Callithrix jacchus: one gene and its partners. The protein of the gene in region 4 purifies or fractionates together with the protein of the main gene of each other region. This does not show direct contact. Links are inferred from orthologs where the notes say so. Each region holds a gene or a part of one and is shown on either strand. Other genes may lie near its edges.

The links.
Region 1: the proteins of MAPK14 (region 4) and CCDC8 purify together in Homo sapiens (affinity purification with mass spectrometry; 3 studies listed by BioGRID and IntAct, counting the BioPlex papers as one, with this or other methods). This does not show direct contact. The link is inferred for Callithrix jacchus from reciprocal best matches to the Homo sapiens genes MAPK14 and CCDC8.
Region 2: the proteins of MAPK14 (region 4) and DUSP16 purify together in Homo sapiens (affinity purification with mass spectrometry; 7 studies listed by BioGRID and IntAct, counting the BioPlex papers as one, with this or other methods). This does not show direct contact. The link is inferred for Callithrix jacchus from reciprocal best matches to the Homo sapiens genes MAPK14 and DUSP16.
Region 3: the proteins of MAPK14 (region 4) and DUSP9 purify together in Homo sapiens (affinity purification with mass spectrometry; 8 studies listed by BioGRID and IntAct, counting the BioPlex papers as one, with this or other methods). This does not show direct contact. The link is inferred for Callithrix jacchus from reciprocal best matches to the Homo sapiens genes MAPK14 and DUSP9.
Region 5: the proteins of MAPK14 (region 4) and OBSL1 purify together in Homo sapiens (affinity purification with mass spectrometry; 6 studies listed by BioGRID and IntAct, counting the BioPlex papers as one, with this or other methods). This does not show direct contact. The link is inferred for Callithrix jacchus from reciprocal best matches to the Homo sapiens genes MAPK14 and OBSL1.
Region 6: the proteins of MAPK14 (region 4) and IQGAP1 purify together in Homo sapiens (affinity purification with mass spectrometry; 3 studies listed by BioGRID and IntAct, counting the BioPlex papers as one, with this or other methods). This does not show direct contact. The link is inferred for Callithrix jacchus from reciprocal best matches to the Homo sapiens genes MAPK14 and IQGAP1.

What each region holds. Positions count from the first base shown.
Region 1 is NC_133523.1:40,427,056-40,431,009, reverse strand, and holds the start of CCDC8 (coiled-coil domain-containing protein 8), read left to right. Parts: upstream 1-1,154; 5' UTR 1,155-1,897; coding exon 1,898-3,490; 3' UTR 3,491-3,954. UniProt on the Homo sapiens protein: Core component of the 3M complex, a complex required to regulate microtubule dynamics and genome integrity. It is unclear how the 3M complex regulates microtubules, it could act by controlling the level of a microtubule stabilizer.
Region 2 is NC_133510.1:10,833,881-10,837,092, reverse strand, and holds the end of DUSP16 (dual specificity protein phosphatase 16), read right to left. Parts: coding exon 3,106-3,212; 3' UTR 501-3,105; downstream 1-500. UniProt on the Homo sapiens protein: Dual specificity protein phosphatase involved in the inactivation of MAP kinases. Dephosphorylates MAPK10 bound to ARRB2.
Region 3 is NC_133524.1:149,567,497-149,571,571, reverse strand, and holds the start of DUSP9 (dual specificity protein phosphatase 9), read right to left. Parts: upstream 2,801-4,075; 5' UTR 2,626-2,800; intron 1,919-2,625; exon of another isoform or gene 1,715-1,918; intron 1-1,714. UniProt on the Homo sapiens protein: Inactivates MAP kinases. Has a specificity for the ERK family.
Region 4 is NC_133505.1:44,336,287-44,340,524, reverse strand, and holds the start of MAPK14 (mitogen-activated protein kinase 14), read right to left. Parts: upstream 2,801-4,238; 5' UTR 2,429-2,800; coding exon 2,313-2,428; intron 2,139-2,312; exon of another isoform or gene 2,127-2,138; coding exon of another isoform or gene 2,086-2,126; intron 1-2,085. UniProt on the Homo sapiens protein: Serine/threonine kinase which acts as an essential component of the MAP kinase signal transduction pathway.
Region 5 is NC_133507.1:141,292,702-141,295,226, forward strand, and holds the end of OBSL1 (obscurin-like protein 1), read right to left. Parts: intron 2,453-2,525; coding exon 2,291-2,452; intron 1,974-2,290; coding exon 1,869-1,973; intron 1,556-1,868; coding exon 1,286-1,555; intron 1,054-1,285; coding exon of another isoform or gene 1,013-1,053; exon of another isoform or gene 1,009-1,012; coding exon 812-1,008; 3' UTR 634-811; coding exon of another isoform or gene 626-633; 3' UTR 501-625; downstream 1-500. UniProt on the Homo sapiens protein: Core component of the 3M complex, a complex required to regulate microtubule dynamics and genome integrity. It is unclear how the 3M complex regulates microtubules, it could act by controlling the level of a microtubule stabilizer.
Region 6 is NC_133507.1:19,899,455-19,903,132, reverse strand, and holds the end of IQGAP1 (ras GTPase-activating-like protein IQGAP1), read left to right. Parts: intron 1-884; coding exon 885-998; 3' UTR 999-3,178; downstream 3,179-3,678. UniProt on the Homo sapiens protein: Plays a crucial role in regulating the dynamics and assembly of the actin cytoskeleton.

The DNA of each region.
Region 1 (3,954 bases), on a different chromosome or scaffold from region 4:
CACACCACTACGCCCGGCTATTTTTTAAATTTTTATTTTATACGGAATTTAGGTCTGTCACCCAGGCTAGAGTGCAGTGGCTCGATCTTGGCTCACTGCAACCTCCACCTCCTGGGTTTAAGCAGTTCTCCTGCCTCAGCCTCCAGAGTAGCTGAGACTACGCACGGGCACCACCACGCCTGGCTAATTTCTTTTTTATTTTTGAGACGAGTCTCACTGTTGCTCAGGATGGAGTGCAGTGCAGTGGCTGATCTTGGCTCACTGCAACCTCCGCCTCCCGGGTTCAAGTGATTCTCTTGTCTCAGCCTGCTGAGTAGCTGGGATTACAGGCACCGACCACCATGCCTGGCTAATTTTTTTGTATTTTTAGTAGAGACAGGGTTTCACCGTGTTAGCCAGGATGGTCTGTCTCCTGACCCCGTGATCTGCCCACCTCAGCCTCCCAAAGTGCTGGGATTACAGGCCTGAGCCACTGCCCCCGGCCGAGCCCGGCAAATGTTTGTATTTTTTTTTTTTTTTTTTTTTTTTTTGTACAGAGGAGGGATTCACCACGTTGGCCAGGCTTCTCTCGAACTGCTGGCCTCAAGTGTTTGTTCCACCCGCCTCGGCCTCCCAAAGTGCTGAGATTACAGGTGTGAGCCACCGCCCCGGGCCATGAACGTTTAGGTTATTCATCCACTCAAAACTATGCATTGAGCCCCGACCTTGTGCCACGCGCCACAGTGGGACTGTTGCAATAAGAACCTGGTACCCATTTCTCTACCCACGTGTGTGGGTGTACGGGTACCGATGGTCGCGTGAATTTAACATGCTCATCTATAGTGCCAGTGGCCCTCAAAAGGTCGAATCCACTAGCACAGCCACCTCCGGGGTTTGGCTGGGACTTGTCCATTTCGGAGGGCAGGTCTGGAAACCGCTGCCTTTCAGGAAAGGTGCTGACGTGGGCTACAGCCGCTTCGCTGGGAAGCAATGGGCCCAGTTAGGCCCGGGACGCGGCCACACCCCTGTGGGGGAGGGGAGGGAGGCCGCCCCGAAGGGAGTGGACAGCCCCCCTGTCAGTCTTCCCGAGTCCGGGAGTGTAAGATGAGACGGGGAAGGTGGGCCTCGTTCTAGGGGAAGGCGAGGAGGAACTTCCTGCCCCTGCGCTCCAAGGTGCAGAGCCCTAAGCGCGCGGCCTGGCAGGCTGCAGCGTGTCAAGGTCAGCCTGGAGCTGGGTGGCGGCCTGCCTGGGGGCGGGGTACCCAACTGCGGGGCCCGGCTGAGGCCTCCCAGCCCCTCGGCCATATTGAATAGCCTGGGCTGGACCGTCTTTGTCTGCGAATTCCTCTTCCAAGTTCCAGCCGCGTCCCCGGTGCCTGGGGCAGGAAGAATCGCTGGCAGCTCGCGCGCCCCAACTTGGAGCTGGACCACCACGTTTCCAGCTTGGAGTGGGCCTTGAGCCTCGGGACTGACCTCGCCCCCGCCCACGTAAGCATCCTGGAAATTGATTCCTCCAAGTCCGTGGCAAGGGAGCAGGACTTGGTCAACACTGGACTTGGTACAGGCGAAGAGATAGGAGGCGTGGGCTCGTCCCTGGCCTGGGGAGGAGACTCTCCGATCAGCGTTGCTGGCACTCCCCCGGCCTCCAGTCCCTCCCTCAAGACTGTAGCTTGTTGGGGCTCATTGCCCCCTCACCTCAGATACCACTCTGGAGATCTTAAAGACTCTCGAGAAAAGCCACGTGGGGGGCTGGTTCCCCTGGGGCTTCCTCCCGTCCCCCGACTGCCTAATTCTTTGGAGCGTCCCCGATGTCTGCAAAGATGTGGATTTGGACGTCCTCGTGGAAGCCCTGAAGCCCGTGGGGACTTTTAAGAAGATCGGGAAGGTGTTCCGCAAGGAGGAGGACTCCACGGTGGGGATGCTGCAGATTGGGGAGGACGTCGATTATTTGCTCATCCCCCGGGAGGTCAGGCTGGCCGGGGGCGTCTGGAGAGTCATCTCCAAGCCCGCCACCAAGGAAGCAGAATTTCGGGAGCGGCTGATCCAGTTCCTGGAAGAAGAAGGCCGCACCCTGGAGGACGTGGCCCGAATCATCGAGAAGAGCACCCCGCACCCGCCCCAGCCCCCCAGAAAGCCCAGGGAGCCCCGAGTGAGGAGAAGAGTGCAGCAGATGGTGACTCCTCCGCCCCGGTTGGTCGTGGGCACCTACGACAGCAGCAATGCCAGCGACAGTGAGTTGAGCGACTTCGAGACCTCCAGAGACCAGAGCCGCCAAGGCCCGCGGCGGGGCAAGGCGGTGCGCAGGATGCCGGTCAGCTACCTGGGCAGCAAGTTCCTGGGCAGCGATCTGGAGAGCGAGGATGATGAGGAACTGGTCGAGGCCTTCCTCCGGCGAGAGGAGAAGCAGCCCAGTGCGCCGCCTGCCCGCCGTCGCGTCAACCGGCCAGTGCCGATGTTTGAGGACAACCTGGGGCCTCGGCTGTCCAAGGCGGACAGGTGGCGGGAGTATGTCGGCCAGGTGTCCTGGGGGAAGCTGAAGCGGAGGGTGAAGGGTTGGGCGCCGAGGGCGGGACCCGGGGTGGGTGAGGCCCGGCTGTCCTCCACCGCATCAGGGAGCGCAGGAGTATCATCCGCGCCAGAGGGCACCAGCCCCAGGGATCGCGTGGGAAACGCGGGAGATGCCTGTGCGCCCCAGACCTCCCCCAGGCGATGGAGGCCCAAGATCAACTGGGCCTCCTTTCGACTCCACAGAAAGGAGCAGACAGCATCCACAGGTCAGGGGGCAGACTTCCAGGCTAATCATGGGGGAGAGGCTGCAGATAATCAGAGGGAAGGGGCCATAGCTGACCGGAGGGAAGAGGCCCCAGCTGACCAGGGGCCAGAGGCTGCAGATAACCAGAGAGAAGAGGTTGCTGATAATCAGAGGGAAGAGGCCGCAGCTGACCAGGGGCCAGAGGGTGAAGATAACCAGAGGGAAGAGGCTGCAGATAATCAGAGGGCAGAGGCCCCAGCTGACCAGGGGTCAGAGGCTGCAGATAATCAGAGGGCAGAGGCCCCAGCTGACCAGGGGTCAGAGGCTGCAGATAATCAGAGGGCAGAGGCCCCAGCTGACCAGGGGTTAGAGGCTGCAGATAATCAAAGGGAAGAGGCCGTACATGACCAGAGGGAAAGGTCCCCAGCTGTCCAGGGTGCAGATAATCGGAGGGCCCAGGCTGCACATAATCAGAGGGCAGGTGCCCCAGGCATCCAGGAAGCTGAAGCTTCAGCTGCCCAAGGGACCACAGGGACAGCTTCAGGAGCCAGGGCCCGGAAACAGGTCAAGACAGTGAGGTTCCAGACCCCTGGACGCTTTTCGTGGTTTCGCAAGCACCGGAGAGCCTTCTGGCACACTCCCCGGTTGCCAACCCTGCCCAAGAGAGTCCCCAGGGCCGGTGAGGCCAGGAACCTCAGAGTGCTGAGGGCTGAGGGCAGAGCAGAAGCTGAGCAGGGAGAGCAAGAAGACCAGCTGTGAAGTGGGAGCTAGGGACAGCGCACAGGCCCTCCCTCCGTGTGGGGGAGAGAGGTTGATCTTTCTGCCTCTGAACTTGAAAACGGAGGTGGATGCTGCCCACATCTCCACCTAAGCACCCTCTTTATTCTCTTGTTAAAATCTAGTCTCATGCTTTGATTTTTTTTGTTGTTATTTTTTAGAGACAGGGTCTCACTCTGTTGCCCAGGCTGGAGTGCAGTGGCATGATCGTAACTCACTGCAGCCTCAAACTTCTGGCCTCAAGTGATCCTCCTGCCTCGGCCTCCCAAAGCACTGGGATTACAGATGTGAGCCACCATGTGCACCACCTGATTTTTTAAAAAAAGACTGATTCCTTGTAGCAACCCAAAGAATGTAAGGAAAGAAATCGATAGGATAGGGTGGCATCACCCATAGTTTTAGCTTTCTCAGATGCAACTCAAGGTGCTCAGTTTGAAACAGGAGAG
Region 2 (3,212 bases), on a different chromosome or scaffold from region 4:
CTCATTTTTATGAAACTGATGAAACTAAGCTTCTAGTCTCACTAAGTCGTCAAATCTACTGTCATGAGCAGAGAGGTCACTAAGATGTACGTGGCAAGGACAGAGGTTAGATCTTCAACAATTGCCCTTCCTGTTTTTCCTGTTGGAATCATAACATTGTTAATTGAAGTGGACCATGAGTGTGTAGCTGGCTTTTTTCTTCCTATCATGTACTTGTGTGTTCTGGAATCAGTCAGCTAGAAAATACTGACCAAGTGCCCTAGGCTTCTGCGCCATCGTGCGCATTTCATGCACACAGCAACGCTTTTACTGTTGGCTGATGATCCTGTGTTCCATGCCATGATAGAACAGAATATACCTGATGACAAAATCACTTTATTTTGAGCTAAATCCTCATTTACATGAGAAGAACAGGACAGGTTTCACCACGGCGTCCTCTGGCAACTTGGGTGGTGGTATTCCCACCAAGTGTATGGCTGAAAAATAGGTCTTTTCTCATATTTATGTATAAACAGGTACCAGTTTTGATTTTATTTCATCATTTCATACATTAACATACATGACACATCAAAATGAGAAATGCACAATTTAACCATTCAACAGCTGGCCTTACTTCAAAAGAACACTATATTCATATTAAACATTTACAGTCTTTCCATCTAGCTTTACACATGTCCTAAGTCGTTTTCCAGCATTTCTCACCTAGAAGTCTAAGTCTAGTTTTGCTCTTTAAAATCACCATCATCTATATCACCCTAGTAGGTGCCAGGATTACCCGATTATGTGCTGAAGAGAGCCAGCCACCACCCTGTCCAAAGACACCCAAGCAGCTCCAGAGCCGGCCTCCGAGGCTGCCCCTTCACCACGGCAGTCTTCATTCCACGAAATGATTTGACACGAGCGAACCAGCACTGAAGGCTGTAGTGTGTGACTACATCACAGTCACAGAAGAGGACCATGGCCAAGGGACGCCCTAAATGACAGCAGCTCATTAAAACCCAGTCCCTCAAACCTCCTGAAACATCCTTAGCAAGGAGCTACTGCTTTCATTTCTTAAAAATGTTTTGGAGGTGACCACATTCCGCAAGTGGTGAACCATTACACATTTGTGTGTGTGTGTACATAACATCAGAAATTACTGTGTGAAACTTGAGAATGTGATTACATTGAATGTATGTATAAAAACTAACTCGAATCATTGACCAGCTCTTTCCCAGTGTCCTTAGCAATGTGGCCAACCCTCTTCTGCCTTCACTTACACCCACCCCATCACCCATCACGGCACATTATTTGTGCACAGCTAATGTCTGTACGGCTCATCTTCCCCGTGACCACGCCAGTCTCTGTTGAGTCATGTCATTCTGTGCTGGTTTTAGAAGTCACCATAGGAAACATGAAGTCACATCCTGGTCAAAAAACTGTCCATTTCTCAAACAGAGAAAAACCTGAGATACGAGGCAGCAACTAGCGACACTTACAGGAAAGGAAAGAACAATGACAGCACCCGCCCAGTCTCACTCCCAAAAAAGCTGCTGTCATGAATTAGGCTTCAAAAGAGGACCCACATTGTAGTGGACAAAACCCAAAGCCAGGAGGAAGTTTGAAAGCAGATTTGCACTATCACTTGCGCACTTGTTCCAGTGACCTCCTACGTTCAGCTGCCAGGACCGAGTCCACAGTGATTGTAGGCTGAGGGCTGAGGATGCCCCTTGCTCCAGCTCCATTTGGATTCGCCCCTTCCACTGAAGACATGCCAGCCAGAGTTTCTGAAAATAGCTTGGCCATGGCTTTGCACTCTGCTCATAACTGATCAAAACTCAACGGTCTTCTCAGCTTTCTTAACAGTTTTATTCTGAATATTCCTTGCTCACTAAAGCCTTTCTCAGCCCTACTAGTAAATTCGAAAGTCTGAGGCAATTAATTACAGAAACACCACCCCCTCGCATGCCAAGGGGATAAAAGCCATTAAGGAAATAGGTTTCCTGCTTCTCCTCAGCAATTTTTACCTTTCTTAATCTTCTCATAATTTACCTCCCTTGGTAGTTTCCTGTAAAATTCTGCTGTATTGTTACATTTTACCAACTGTCCATGCAGTGAAGTAGAAATGGCAAAAATATCTACTCTGGCTGAGAAGTGGAAGGTGCTGCTGCTTGGTTACCAACCCAAATAAATTCACATTTGGCTGGAAACCAAGTTCATCTTTATTTAAAGGATTGACAATCCCATTTAAACAATTCTTTGATTTATACAGAGGGAGGGAGACTCGTTAGCCTCCCAACCTTAGCTTTAATCATGACGCTGCCAGGTTCCTGGCTGTTCAGCTGAATCCTAGACACTTTCCCTTCTCTTCATAAAGCTGAGAAGGAAACAAAATTAACTGCTTCCATCCAGGCCCACTGGAATTTTGTGCATAGAGTTTGAATTGGTCTGAAAAGTGTGACTAGCTACCTACCTATTCACAATGCCTAGAAAACGGGCTACCAGATATGGCAGTGGTCAAAGCCCCAACTTTCCTGTCTGAGGTACTGGGTTTGCTCTAAAGTAGACCTTGGCAAGACCCCTAATGGTCCATCCAGCAGAGTGATGCTGTGTCCCTCGGCTATCGGGTGAGCGTGGGTTTGTGAATCAGCTTTGGAAAGGATCGTTTCTCTTGGATTCACCACTAGGCTCTGTCCCTAACAGGGTCTACCTACCTGACCCACAGGCTGGCTCAGTCTCGGCGCTAAGGTGTACTATGGAAGGGACCAGACAGAGACTAATGTTTGAGATCTCTTAGTATGTGAAAATGGTAGAGGATTTTGTCCTCCGACACCAAATACACTTTCTTTTTAAGAACAAGATGATGTGTGAGTCACTGAATCAGATGACTGTCTGGGGGAGTCTAGCGTCTGCCCTTCCATTTTTGTTGAGAGAGGTATTAGCTGATCTCTCAAATGCAGATGTTAGGAGAGTAACAACTGGGTTGATCCACCTTTTGCTTTTACACCATAGCTCCATTTTCTAAAAATATATATGTATGTACATATATATATTTCAGATTTACAGGGAATTCTTTTGTGAACCAGAAAAAAAAATTGTCCATAGAAGTCGCAAGTGTTTTTCTTCTCAGGAGACCTCAATGATTTCCATGCTGCCCGAAAAGCTAGACTGACTGCCCACTTTCCCCAGCTCTTCCCGCGACCTATTCTCTGACATGATGCTCTCTCCAAATT
Region 3 (4,075 bases), on a different chromosome or scaffold from region 4:
AGGTCCCCTCGTCCAGGCAGCCCTCCCAACTCGGAGCCAGTAGTCTCCCTCCTTTGTGCTCCCCAGTGTGGTCACTTTCCCCCTTTCTCAGTGTGTTCCTGGGGCAGGAACTTTGTCTTCTCCCTCCTCCTATCTCAGCCTAGTCCCACAGTGGTGGAGGTGTACACTGGTGCCCAGCCCGGGGGCTGCCTCCAGGCCCACTGCAGCTGTGGGTGGGAGCTCAGAGTGGCCAGGGGTTGAAGGCACCACCGAGGTTCTGCCATGTGCCAGTCTGGTTGTGGCTAGTAGGGGTGGCACAGGGCTGTGAGCAGCCGGGAGCTGGACAGCGGTGTTCCCCGCTCCTGTGCCTGGGGGCTCAGTCTGGCTGGAGAGGGAGCTCCTGAGGTGCTTAGGCCACTCTGGAGAGGGCTCCCTGGAGGTGAGAGGAGCTGGGCTAGGATGAGGATGAAGAGAGGCAGCCTCCGAAATGGTGAAGGGAGGGGAAGCCCGGGATCCAAGAGTCCCTGGCTCCCGACCGGGCGAGGGGCTCCCTGAACCTAACTGCGGAGCCGTGCTGGCAAGCCTTCCCATCCGGAGAAAGAATTTAGGAGGGGGCCATAAGGGGCTCATGAGGAGGCCATGAGGGGCTCAATCTCCAAAGTCAGAGCTGAGAGTTCAGGGCCCACAGCGCCCGCAGCGCCAGCAACAGGACAAACGGGAACCTGTTGCGGCCTCCGCACTGCAGGGCTGAGCGCAGCCAACCTCCTAACCCCCTCTAACGGCGACCCTCGCCTGACTGCCCCCACTCAGGCCCCCAGCAGCGCCAGCTCTGGGCGCCGCCGAGCCCCGCAGCCACTCCCGGGTGGGCCGTGCAGGGAGAGGCCGCGTCGCGCGCCCGGGCCTCTCCTGGCCCCCTCCGGCGGGCGGAGCCAGGCCGCGCGCTCGCTGCTCGTCGCAGGGTGGGCGCTGCGCCCGCCTACCCCGCCCCCGCCCCTGCCGGGCGCCCCGGGCCTCCGCCCGGCCGGGCCAGCGCCCCCTGGAGGCCGCGAGGAAGCCGCCGTCTGCAGGCCTCGCGCGTGCCGAGTGCGCCCTCTGGTCCCGGGGGCCTCCCGAGAGCGGCGCCGCGCCGCCTTCCCACCCCGAAATGCACCATTCCCGCCGGGCCGAGTGGCAGGATTTCGGCTGTCGCGGCCGGGTCACATGGCCAAGAGCACAAGTCCCAGAGACAGCGTGTCTGCCAAATCCAGTGTCTTTTCCATCAAATCCACTTTCTGCTGGGGATGGTCGGTCTCCTCGCGGGACTGGGAGTTCCTCCAAGGCAGGAACGTGTGTGTGCCCGGCCCCAAGCTGGCCCCAGCCCCCAGTGCAGGGCCTGGCACGCGCCCGGCGCTCGCGGAAGAAATGCTCGTTAACAAAGAAGGCATGAATGAATGAAACCAATTGTTGCCTGAGGGAGCTGCTCCTGCTTTTCCTTCTGCCGATTACACACTCCTCCCCCACCCCGACACGCATAAGCACACGTGCACATACAGCTCTCCCCGTAACACACACACAGGCCGGCACCCAGACAGCGCGCGCGGACTCCAGCCCGCATGGAACCCACCTACTACGGGCTGGTCGGGCAGCTGGCGCCCCTTTGGTCCCACCTGGGACGCCTCCATTTCAGCGGCGGGCGCTCTCTGCCTCCACCCCGCCCCTCCCCCCGGCCCCTTGCCTCCGCATCTAAGTACCCTACCTTGCACCCCAAGTGCCTTCTTTATCTCTTAGGGAAGAGGCCAAGTCAGTCGCTGGGGAGTCTCAAGGTCTGTTTAGGGAGGCACCTGGGGAGCCGAAGGCTGATGAGACGCTGCCGAAGGAGAGCCAGAGGTGCCTGGCAGGGATGCCACCAAATGCTGCAGCCTCTAGAGCCCGCGTGCCAGGTGTTGGGAGGGAGGGACTCAGAGATGTGCTGGGGGTGTCGAAGGCTATTTGTGATGGGGGCGGGGTAGGGTGCTGGAGAGCGTGAATCCAGCAGGTGTGCGCGCGTGCTGGGGCGGATGAGAGTGCGCGCTGGAGATGCTGGAGGTGTGTGCCTGGGACGTGGGGAGTATCGGCCGCTGGGATGTGGATTTGTGATGGGACCTCGCTCCCGGGTGGGTGGACTGCAGTGTCTCTGGGCTGGGCACCTGGGTGGGGTGTCTGTCATGGGATATGGGGAGTTCAAGGTGGCAAGAGCATGGTAGGGGGAGCTATGTTAGTGCAGGTATCGCAGAGATGTGTTGGAAGCGTGCGTGTGCGCCTGGGTGTGTACTGGGGCGTGGCAGGGTCTCGGTGGGTTGGCATGAGTTGGGGACAGTGGTGAGTAGTGGTACAGGGGATGCTAGTGTGTGCATTACAGGGACCCGGCTCTGTGATGCGTGGTTTGTGTGCGCGCGAGTGTGCAGCCGGTCTAAGTGGCAGTGGACACGGGAGGTGCACGGGAGGGGTGCACGGGTGTGCGGCGGCAGCACCCAATGGGTCTCCTAGGGGCGCGTGCGCCGGCTTCGTGGGGAGTGCCTTGTCAGGACTTTGGGGGTGTGGGGTGGAGGAGGGGGTGCACGTAGGGGGGGTCAGCCAGGCCGGGTGGGGTGGGGTGGGGGTCCCCAGGACGTCGTGTGCTCCACTCACCTCTGCTCCGCTCGGTTCTCTGAGCCTGTTCCCTGCGTCGCGGCCGGGAAGTTTCTGAAGCTCGGTCGGCGGGAAGCGCCACTGCTGCCGCCGAACGCCACCGGAACCCCGGGCGGCGGCCTTGCCAGGAGCTGAGGGGCAGCCGCCGGCGCTGCGGAGGGAAACTCCAAATCCCGCCCCCGCCGCCGCCGCCGCCGCCACCGCCTCCTCCGCCTCCGCCTCCTCCGCCTCCGCCACCGCCTCCTCCCCTCCCATCGCCGTCTTCTCCGCCCCCTGCCCAGGAGGGGCAATGTAGCTGGCGGCGCGCAGGGAGGGAGCGGGGAGGGGCCGCGGCCTTCCCGGCGTCTCCCTCCACCTCCCACGCCCCCGCCCGCCTTCCTCCCACCTGCAAGCTTCTGCCCTCTCCGCCCGTCCTGCACGACGCGCCCTGCGCTTCCCGGTCCCCAATGGTGCTACTGAGTGGGGACTTCGGAGCTTGGAGCGCCGGAGTGGGGTTGGGGGCCCTGAACTAGGCTGGGCCTGGGCTAGGGGGACGGTTGCTCCGCAGAATCTGCACTGGCACCCCAGCCAAGGGGCCCCCTGCAGTGTCTCCTCTTATTCTCATATGTCAGATTCTGGCTACTAGTAATAGCATTTGAGCCTCAGTGCCTGGAAGGGGTGGAGCCAGGATGTTGAGGGAGGGGCTGGGAGCAAGTAGGGAGCGGGTGTTGTCACCAGGTCCCGTTAGCTTTCTCCTTTGTACCACAGGTCACACCCATTGGCACCAAGGACCTCATTTTATCCTTACAGCAGTTCTGGAAGTCTGAGGAGATTGTCCCCATGTTACAGCCCGGGAAACTGAGGCCGTGGCTCCCTGGTGGTGGCACGATAGTGTAGTGGCAAAGTAGGATGGGGCTCGGGCTGGCTGAGTTCAGAAGCCTAGAGCCTGAACGAGCGTGAGTGCGGAAGATTGCATGGGGAGGGGAGGGGAGGCAGCCGTCCGAGGTGTGCACCTGGCCTTTCTGGGGCTCCCAGGCCAGCGGTGCATGAGCCTGGCCTCCTGCCTGCAGTGGAGGAGAGGTTGAGATCCAGCAGGAGGATATGAGCGCAGAATAAGGTGCGGCAGGGAGGGCTGGGGTGCCAGCAGCTCCACTGGCTGCCTGGCTGTGTCTGCGGCAGCGCTGAATTCCCCTGAGTCATTACCCCTGGAAGAGACAAGGGCAGCAGCTTTGCCTCTGGAGCCCAGTCCCTGCCCCATCTCTGGGTCTCCATTTCCTGGTCTGTACTTTTGGGGAGAGAGGTGGGATCATGTGATTTCCAAGGGCCCTCCTATCTGTGCAGTTTCAAGCCATGGTGAGTGAGCTGGGAGGGTCCTGCTGTTGCCAGCCAGGCCTGTCCGCCCTGCTCTGGGCCCGACTGCAGCAGAGTCCCTCCTGGAAGGAGGCCACTGGCCCTGCAACCCTGTCCCTGC
Region 4 (4,238 bases):
CTGTCTCTACTAAAAATACAAAACTTAGCTGGGCGTGATAGCATGCGCCTGTAGTCCCAGCTACTCAGGAGGCTGAGGCAGGAGAACTGCTTGAACCCGGGAGATGGAGGTCGCAGTGAACCGTAATTGTGCCACTGCACTCCAGCCTGGTGGCAGAGCGAGATTGTCTCAAAAAAAAAAAAAAAAAAAAAAAGAGACAGTAGAGTAACTGGAGAACAAAAAGGAAAGGAGACTTTTCACTGAATACCTTTTTAAAGCTTTCAAATTTTATCCAATGTCAATGCACTACCTATTTTTTAAAACCTGTTCAATAAAAGTACTTTTAAGTGTCAGATACTGCTGACTTCTATACCACAGAAAAATATACCACTAAAGAAATGTGGAGTTAATTTTAATGACACTTCACTGTAAATCTGGATCTCCTGTTCCAGTTCAGAGCGAGTCACCAACAGCAGTGAACTCTTGCAAGCAATTCAATTGGAGTTTCCCAAACCCTCTACAGTTGACTTATTCTGCTGTATCACTCCATTAAAATTTAAATAGCATTGAAAACAAAAACACGACACTACAGAAATGAATGTGTCAATTCAAGAAAGAAAAAAATGGAAAGCTATTAATGAGCCATAAAATATTAAAGGAGCAATGATCCAAATACATCTTTGAAAATTAGCAATTCAAGTAGATATATATACGTATATACTGCATGTAAAATGCTGTAAATCAACTACACACACACACACACTCTCTTTCTCTCTCTCTGAATGTAAAATGTTGCAAATTCCTTTAAAATGTAAACTGACACACTGTAAAAATGAGAGAAAGATGTCAAGCACGGTGCATTCTACAACATAACTTAAGCAGCTTGAACTAGAAAATGCAACATGATCTGTTGCTGGACACAATTGCACAATCTCAATTACCCAGAAGATTCTACCAAACAGGAAATTCATGATGTGACTTCAGGAAACACAGCAATCATATTTAAAGATTAACACATCCAAAAGCCTGGAATTTGTTCCAAAACAAAAAACGATTTTACAGGCCCCTTTTCAAATCTTGCATAAACACGAATTACTAAAACACAGAAAAAGCTAACCGTTAAATCTGATATTTAGTTTCAGATCCATAGCTTTCAAATGATACAAAATCTAAAATACAGGGTATAAAACCTTGGAAGTTAGAGGTCAGTTAGTGAAATATTTCAGGTCTGGAAATCATATGATATCGACTTAATTTAAAACACACTCATAGTGTAAATTAAAGCTAAAAAGTATTTCTTCCCTTCCTTTTCTATGTGGTTCCATATCTTTACGAAAACCATCGTGTACCTCAAGCCATAAATGCAGATAATTCCCTGCAAACTCTCTGAGGGACTTTTAAACCACAGTATTCGCAGGAATTATCACAACAAGAAATTTACAATACCTCCCAGCACTGTTAATAACTTTTTGATCTTGAGGGCACCTCACAGATCTGAATCTTTCTTGCTCCAAAGGAGAAAATTGTTTTGTCGAACAATACTTAAATGAGCAGTGGTATGTGACTAATCAGTGAGGCTGCCAGTTTCTCAAGCTGCAGTGTTCTTGCAAGCATTACCACCGCCGCCCCTCCACGGAAAGGAAATACGCTTTCAACTGAATCGGAAACACACCACTCAAGCTGGCACAGTGCTCACTGAGATAAAGTCGGTATTTTAAGCTCTATGGATCGGTGCTAACTCAAGTGCGAATTCAAAAAGAACGCTTCTCAAGATGGGATTTCGACAGAGGTTTGCAAAAAAAGAAGGAAAAAAAAAGCCCGGAGAGAGCTCCCTTCCTGCTCAGTTTTGTTCAGATGACTGAAGTCTTCGGGTTGGCCTCTGCCCTTCTGCTTCTCCCGGGAGCTCCCCGAGCTTGTCTGCTCAAAGGACAGGCTCCCGCGTTCCAGCGTGGGCGCATCGCGGGAGAGGGTCCTTCTGCTCCAGGTCGGTAGGGAGACCCCCCAAGAAAGCAGCCCTGCCCCCGGCGCCTGCCGCCGAACAGCAACCCTCCGAGATGGGAAGGCGCAGGGTGCTACCCAGAACCGAGCTCCAGCACCACCACCTACCTCTCGCAGCGGACCTGAGTGCTGCACACGGTGGACCACATACCCGCGAGTGCAGGGCGAGGGGTGCAGGAGGTGCAGAACAGGCAGGGCTCGAAGGGCAGCAATGCCCTCCCCCGAGGAAAATTCCTGCCACTTGACGCAACGCTGAGCCGTGGGGCAGGCCTGGCCCTCGGGCGCGAGGGGCCACCCTGACCACAGCAGCCCCAGCGAGGCCCGGCGACACTCACCACACAGAGCCATAGGCGCCGGAGCCCACTGGAGACAGGTTCTGGTAACGCTCGGGCACCTCCCAGATTGTCTTGTTCAGCTCCTGCCGGTAGAACGTGGGCCTCTCCTGAGACATTTTCCAGCGGCAGCCGCCAGGCAAGAAGGTGGCCCTGTGGGGCCCCCGCCTGCACCCGCACCCTCTCCCCGGCCCTTGCTGCCCGCCCAACCGGGCGGGGACCTCGCGCTGGTCGCCCGCGCAGGTGCGGCTGCCGCGACCCCGCAGACTCCCGCGCGCGCGGCTGCTGTCAGCCGCAGCGGCTGGATGCGCCTCTGCGACTGGGGCAAGCCCGGTTAAGAGAAGGGACGCGCTCTGGCGCTCAAGGCTGCGCCCGCCGCGATATCCCTGCACCTTCGCCCCTACTAGGCCGACTCTGGGCTGCGTCGCAGGACTTCTGCTCCAGCTGCGCCCGCTGAGGATCCAGTGGTCCCGGTTCCAGAGCCAGCAAACGGGAGCCTCCCCGTACTCTCGCGAGAACAGCTCCTGGAACTCTCCGCGAACCGAGATTTTACCCAATATGGAACCTCTCCGCGGGCGGGGCTTCGTGAGAGGAGAATATGGGAGAAGCAATTCTCGCGAGAAGAGAGCAACAACTGTAGACCAGAGGCAGAAATTCCCCAGGGACTGTCTCCTTAAGGGCGCGAAGGAGCACTAGGGAAGAAAGAGATAAGCGGGCAGCACACGCCGCGCGCGCCTCACCGTGGCCGGCGGGGCAAATACCTGGCTCTGTGGTGGGAAACGAGAGGGACAAATAGCATGTTGGGGAAGAGCCAAAAGATCTTTAACAGAGAGTAGTTCCCAGCAGCTGAGCACCTGCTCAACAGAACCCCCAAATTCCAAAAAACACTTGCATAAAAAAGAGACAAGTTCCGGCCAGAAGGCTGCTGCATTCCCATCTGTTCAAGGACATGTGGTTACTCTTCAAGATGCTTGATGAAATCTGCCCCCCAAAACAAATGTCAACCTGCATCAAAGCTAGGCTCTCCATTCAAACTCTCCTAGTAGTTCTTAAACTTACACGCAGAAAAATCACTCTAGGAGTTTAAGATGCAAGTTCCCAGGACTCACAGGGAATCTAATTGGGTAGGTCAGAGGACGGCATCAAGAGCATGTATTTTTATAGTACATCTTAGGTGGTTCTGATTCAGGAAAGTCTCTGATATTTCCCTTTGAGAAGCATTTAAAAAAACCATTACACTGAAGACTTGAAACTGACTCCTATCCTGAAGAGCCATCAGTGAAGAGGATTTTAAGCCTTTAACTTAGGCCTCTTGGAGTAAGAAGAATAGGGCATGAGTCTCATCAAATTTAGGCAAGTCAATTGACCTTTCCTGAACCCTTAGTTCAGGAAAACCCTTAGGAATTTCTGCCCTGCATTCCCGATGAACAGAGTCATGTGTAAAAACTGAACAAGATAAATGTAAATGGGCAAGGCATTATAACCTCATGCCTACATCCATTATCAACCTACACCTATGCTAAAGCTTGTTACAATGAGCAGAAGAATCAGATCCTGTCTGATTCTCTTAGTTTCTTGTATTAGAAATAACTGGGTGCAAGCCAGGACATTTCTCATCATTTCCCGTGTCATACCTTGGAGGGCTCAGACTTTGCCTATCTTGTCCCAACATCTAGCACAGTGTCTAGAACATAAAGCATGTCCCATACGTATTTATTGAAAAATTATGAACAATCACCATGATTTCAATTTAGGAGGTGGTACAGGATCCTCAGTCCTCCTCAAGGAAAGCAACATAAAACCAGAAAACAGAGTCATGGGTGATTCATGGAAAGCTGTCTTGGATCCAATGTAGCTTAGCTGGAATTCTCTTATCTATAAAAACATAATGCTTGAGAATGTTCCAAACTAGGGAGGCTAGGAAGCTTT
Region 5 (2,525 bases), on a different chromosome or scaffold from region 4:
CGGAGTCCCATGGGCCACCTCCTGCATGTCTCCGCGGAGGGGCTGCCTTCCTCCCCATCACCCTGCCTCCCAGCCAGACTCATCTAAGGGTTCTTGTCCTTGTCTGTGGGGCAAACTGTAGCACCCCTCACCCTGGTCCCCTGGCCTCTACAAAGCCACCAGCCTGAGGGCAGTGGCAGGAGATGGGGGTGGGGGGTGCTGCTCTGGGCCAGGCTGGGTTGGGAAGGGAGTTGGGGAGGGGCTTAAATGCACGGTGCATGTCTGGTGTCTGTCATGCCAACCTGGACACCTCATGCTTCTGTCTCCCCCATCCCACTTTGTTTTACATCTTTTATAAATGTGCCAAACTGCGTGGCCTCTGCCAGGAATAGTGGTCTTTGGTGGCTGGCACTTTCATGGGCCAGGTATAAGCACTACAGCCCTCAGTCCCCAGTGTCATTCACTGCACAGGGGCGACAGGCAATGTCTGCCCTCCCACATCACTCAGAGAGCCAAGGGAATGAGCTGTAGCACTTTTATTGTTTCCTGACATCTCTGGTCTCCCTGTTTCTCCACCCCTGCCCAGGGTAGGGGCACACGCCTTCCAAGCTGTCCAAGGGCACCTGCCTGGCCTGGTTCGGTACTCCTAGTTACCTGCAGAGGAATGACTCCACGTGGGGCTGGGGAGAGAGTGGGTACCACCTTCCTCTCCCCAGGCAGAGCCTGGACACCAGCACAGGAAGATCTGGGCCCACAGGCTCTATCCTACCCTTTCTGGGCCTCTGTCAGGGCTGTCTTGGAAGGTGGGGGTCAGCTAGGGGTGGGACACAGCTCAGCATCTGGAGGGAATGCTGGGATTTGGGATAGAAGGTGGGATGTCTCTTCGTGTGAGACATGTGTAAGAGGAAAGAAAGAGGCCTCTGCCAAGGCTGACATGGAACTCACTGCGATGGGCAGGAGGGAGGAGGGACAGGCTGGAGGCAGGCAGTGTTAGGGAGGTACAGAGGAGAGGAACTGGTAGAAATGGGGCTGTTCAAGAGAGAGAAACATGGTCCAGTGGCAAGAGAGAGAAGCCTGGCAGGAAGGGGTATAGAAAGGTGGGAACAGCTGACTAGGAGCAGCTGATCTGAGTCAAGCAGTTCCAGCCCTGGGTGTGCTCTATCCCTCCCCTCCCCCACCCCCACCTCCAACACATTTCAGGACCTGCCGCCACCACAGTCCTAGAAAGCCTCCCATAGGTGTGGCTTAGCCCATCGGTTCCCAGGTGCCCTCGCCCTCTTGCCTCTTCCCAGTCGGCTTTACTCACCCTCTACCAGCAGCCGTGTGTGGGCGCTGTCCTGGCCGGCCTGGCAGCAGTAGGTGCCCTGGTCCTCAGGTCGAACGTCACGGATGACCAGGCTGTGGGTGGGGCCGTGGCTGCGCATCTCATACTTATCTCCCGGGCACAGCTGGGCCCCCTCCCGCAACCAGAACACGTGGCCCCCCGAGCGCGACACAGTCACTTCCAGCACGGCCCGGCGGCCCACCAGAATGGTCTTCTCGCGAGGGGGGCGGCGGCACATCTGGAGAGGCAATGCTGAGGGTAGGGGGCGGGAGCTTAAGTTAATAGGGACACACATGGCCCCCAGGAGAAGAGACGCATCTTCCCTCCCTGCAGCCTCCACTCAGGGCCTTAGCCCTCTATGCCACCGGTCCGTTCCCTTGCACCTCAAATCCAAAGTCTCCTCTTCCCAGGGAAACGCGGTGCCCTCTGTGACCCGGCCCAGGAGAGCCCTTCGCGGGAAGGGGAAGAGGAAGGCATCGTTCCCGGGGCCACCCCCGGTCCGTCAGTCCCCTGGCAGGAGAGGAGAGGATGTTCTTTCCCTGTCGCTCCCGCCCCTGGTGCTTACCCTCCACTTCCAGTAGAGCCAAGGACTGGGCGGGCCCCGCCTGGAAGCGGACTTCACCGGCGTCCTCGGGGCGCAGCTCGCTCAGCACCAGAATGTGTTTCTTCCCTGGGGGTGACGGGGTCGCTAGCGAGGCCGGAGCCACCTCAGAGGAGCGCTGGGGACGCGGGTGGGGCCGCAGCAGGCCCCTGGGTCGGTTCGGACGCCGTTAGTGTACGCTAAGGTGGGCGGAACCGGAGAGCGGGGCGGGTAGAGGAGCGGTCCGGGACTCGGGGCTGGGGGCGGAGGAGAGACCCGGGACGCGGCTCTGGGGCCTTGAGGCGGGGCCTGTCCGAGCCGGAGGTGGGGCTTGTCCCGCGGGGCGGGGTCTGTCCGAGCCTGGGCGGGGCAGCGAGGGGCCCGAAAGGGTAGCCTGGCGGCCAGACCTTCTTGTCGGATGCGGACGCGGGCTCCGGGTCTCAGCAGGCGGCCTCCGAGCTCCCAGCGCCCCGTGGTCTCGGCCTCCGACACGGTGCACTCGAACGTAGCGCCGTCGCCTTCGCGGGCACTCACCGACAGCAGCTCGGAGAGCACCTCCACAGTGCGGTCTGGGGCGGACCCGGGGCGTGAGCGGGGCGGGGCGGAGGGCAGGTGCTGGCCACGCCCCCACGCCCCCTTTTT
Region 6 (3,678 bases), on a different chromosome or scaffold from region 4:
CAGGCATGAGCCACTGCACCCAGCCTTGTGGGGCCCTTTCAAGCCCTTTGACCCTTGCTTTCTCTTCACCACTCTTCCAAATTTTAGAAGTGAGACCACTCAAGATTTCATAAACTTGTTTAGGATCAGTGGTGAAGATAGCAGGAAAAGCAGGAGCTTTGCAGTCAGATCTGGATTTACCATGTCCGTCTCTGTCCTGTTGTGAAGTCATTTAACACCTCTGAGCCTCAGTAGTTTATCTTTAAAGTTGGGATAATCACACCTCATAAAAATTTGTGAGGACTTTAAAAGATGCTACATAATGTGCTTACACAGTGCCTGAGCACATATGCTAATAAAGCACCAAGTTCTCTCTTTTTCCCTTGCCTTCAGGATAGAAAGTGTTCTCTTGTGGAGCAGAAATGAAGAATCTAGCAGATAGTATTGAGATAACATTACTAGCCTTGTCTCATTTCCTGTGCTTAGTATATTTAGTCATAGGTTTCAATGCCTTCGCCTTTTCCAGATTTATTAAAACTAGTGACCCATAACGTGGATGAAATGTGAAAATGTCAGTGTGACTTCTGAAATCAAAAGCTTAGATGTCATGTGGCAACTGAACATGTTTCTTTTTCTTTCCCTGTATGATTAATTTTGATATGAACAACATGACTTTCTAACTCCAAATTAACCAGAAGACTCCCTTGGCCAGCGCACCATGTTGCTGCAGCTCTCAGGCTGGTTACGCAGTGGGTAGTTTCCTAGCTAGGAGCTTCTCTGTGGCCCCATTTCACATCTGGCACACAAGACAGCCTCGGCCCATCTGGATTCTCCCCCACATCATGCCCTTTTTCCTGGTTCCACAGACTTGATTCACTGTCACAATGTTTTGTTTTTTAAAATAGGACCTGCTGCAGCTACAATACGAAGGAGTTGCAGTCATGAAATTATTTGATAGAGCTAAAGTAAATGTCAACCTCCTGATCTTCCTTCTCAACAAAAAGTTCTACGGGAAGTAATTGGTCACTTGCTGCCAGCCCAGAAGGATGAAGGAAAGAAGCACCCCACAGCTGCCTTTCTAGATCCTTCTTTACTCATTGGAAGCAAAGACCTAGCCCACAACAACGCCTCAATCTGATGCATTCCCAATGCCACATTTTTAACTCCTCTCCTTCTGATGGGACATTTGTTACCCTTTTTTCATAGTGAAATTCAGGCTTAGTCTGGCGTTTCTGTATTCTTCATTTTCTTCCATTACTTAGGAAAGAGTGGAAACTCCACTAAAATTTCTCTGTGTTGTTACAGTCTTAGAGGTTGCATTACTATATTGTAAGCTTTGGTGTTTGCTTTAATTAGCAATAGGGATGGTAGGATTCAAATTTTTGTCATTTAGAAGTGGAAGCTATTAGCACCAATGACCTACATACATAAGACATACAACTAAAATGTCATGTTCTTAACAATTGTTAGGATGTCATTTAAAAGTGAATGTCATGTTGCTAACAGCTGTTAGGTTGTCATTTAAAAGTAAAGTTCCTTTCTATTTCTGTCCTATCAGGAAAGTTGAAGGATATGAGGATCATTGCTTCTCTCCCATTGTGCTTTTCTTTATGGACAGGAGCTAATAGAAGTGACTGTTGTATATTCAAAGGATCCATTTCTAGAAAAATGAGGTAGTGTTTTTAAATTTCATCATCAAACTTGGGCAATTCTGTTTGTGTAACTCTCCGTCTAGTGGATGGGAGAGTCCGGTTGATAAAATTCAGCTACCTAGGTAAATTCAGAATGGGTGAAGATACCTGCCTGCTTGTGTTGGTGCATAGAGATTGACTTGATTCAAAGAGACAATTCACTCCATCCCTCTGGCAGAGGAATGAGTTGGCCCTAGTGTAGAATTGTCATTGTTTTTTTTAAAACTTTTATATCTTAAGAGTGTCTTATCGAAATATAGATCTATTTCTTAAAATGTGGGTGATAGGAATTTTAAAGATTTATAATGCATTTTAAAGATTTTTGATGCATTTAAAATGCATCAAAAGCTTTAGATTAAGAAAACGGTTTTTTTAAATTGGTTTATCTGTATATCTGAACTCTTGAAACTTATAGCTAAAACACTAGGATTTATCTGCAGGATTGCAGAGAGATAATTCTGCCTTAAATTGTCTAAAACAAAAACAAAACCAGTCAACTTTTGTTACATGTGAGATTGAAACCAATTTTTCTCCCTTTTTTTTTCCTCCTTTTTTCTTTTGCTGCCCACATTGTGCCTTTATTTTATGATCCCCAGTTTTCTGGGCTTATTAAAAAAAAAGAAAAATCAGTTCTAAACATTGAATTTAGAAAGCTTTTGTTCTTGAATAAAAAGTAGTATACTTTTTAAAAATCTGTTTATCCAGGAAAATATATTAAAATCATGCCGTTGAGCCTCTATTTTCTTTTATGTTTTGGTTCGGTATTCTTTTATCATAAATTTTTAGCATTTAAAAATTTACTGATGTACATTTAAAGCCAATAAACTGTTTTAATGAATAACAAGCCATGTGGCATGTCCCTATTGTAAATGCATTGGAGAAGTCTTTTTATGAGACTCTTGACTCAGGTCCATGGTTACAGCCCACAGGGAGGCGCAGAGTGCCATGGAAGGATTCGACACTACCCAGACCTTGTTTTTTGCTGTTTTGAAAGACAGGTTTTTTTAAAATAAACATTTCCTCAGATTAAAGGATGATGCTATTACAACTAGCACTGCCTCAAAAACTGGGACCAACCAAAGTGTGTCAACCATGTTTCCTTAAAAGAGACTGTCAGTCCCAAAGGCCACATCCAAGGCAGGCAATAACGAGCAGAGTTTACAGCTCCTTCTATAAAATGTGTCAATTATTTGTAAGGATTGTAGTCCCTCAGCACAACTGCTAATGCACTTCAAGGATGTTGATGATGACGATGTAGAATTATGGTTTTAGTGGCATGGAAGATACCTAACAAACTCCTGGCATTGAAACCATGCAGTTCTTGATACTGTTATTTATTAGCAGTAGCATTCTGTCCCCTCTCTCCTCCTTTGACCTTCTCCTACACCAGACATCATGACATTTACCATGAATTTACTTCCTCCCAGGAATCTGGACTGCCCATCAGATTGTTGCTGCGCACAATTGCCTTTGTATCTCTGTATGAAATAAAAGGTCATTTGTTCGTTGTTTGTGTTTTTCTCAGTTTCGTTGTTAACAGTTGGCTACACATCTTGACTAGAGTGAGATGTAATAGTTAAAACCACAACAGCAAACAACCCCTTTCTTTTTAAGGGGAAAACATAAGTCCACTGTCAAATCACTGAGTGTCTTAAAGTGATTTTTAATGTGTGAATGTGTGACTTCAGCCTTTTTAATGGATATGCTCAAGTTATCTTCACCATAAAAAGAAGGGGGTGAGGGGAAGCAAACATTATTTGTCACTTAATTCTGATTGACTAATGGTATAAAGTTTAAAATTGCAACAGCATTTCACCTTTTTTTGACTGACACACTAGGTGTTGAGTACACAGAGAGTGCCCCTTAGGGGGCTTCTGGGTTACATGCGAGTCACCAGGAAAGACTAGGGGATGTTGAAGATGGAAAAAGTAAGTCCCAGCAGGAAAAAAAAGGGAGGGGGGGCTGGGCATGGTGGCTCACGCCTGTAATCCCAGCACTTCGGGAGGCT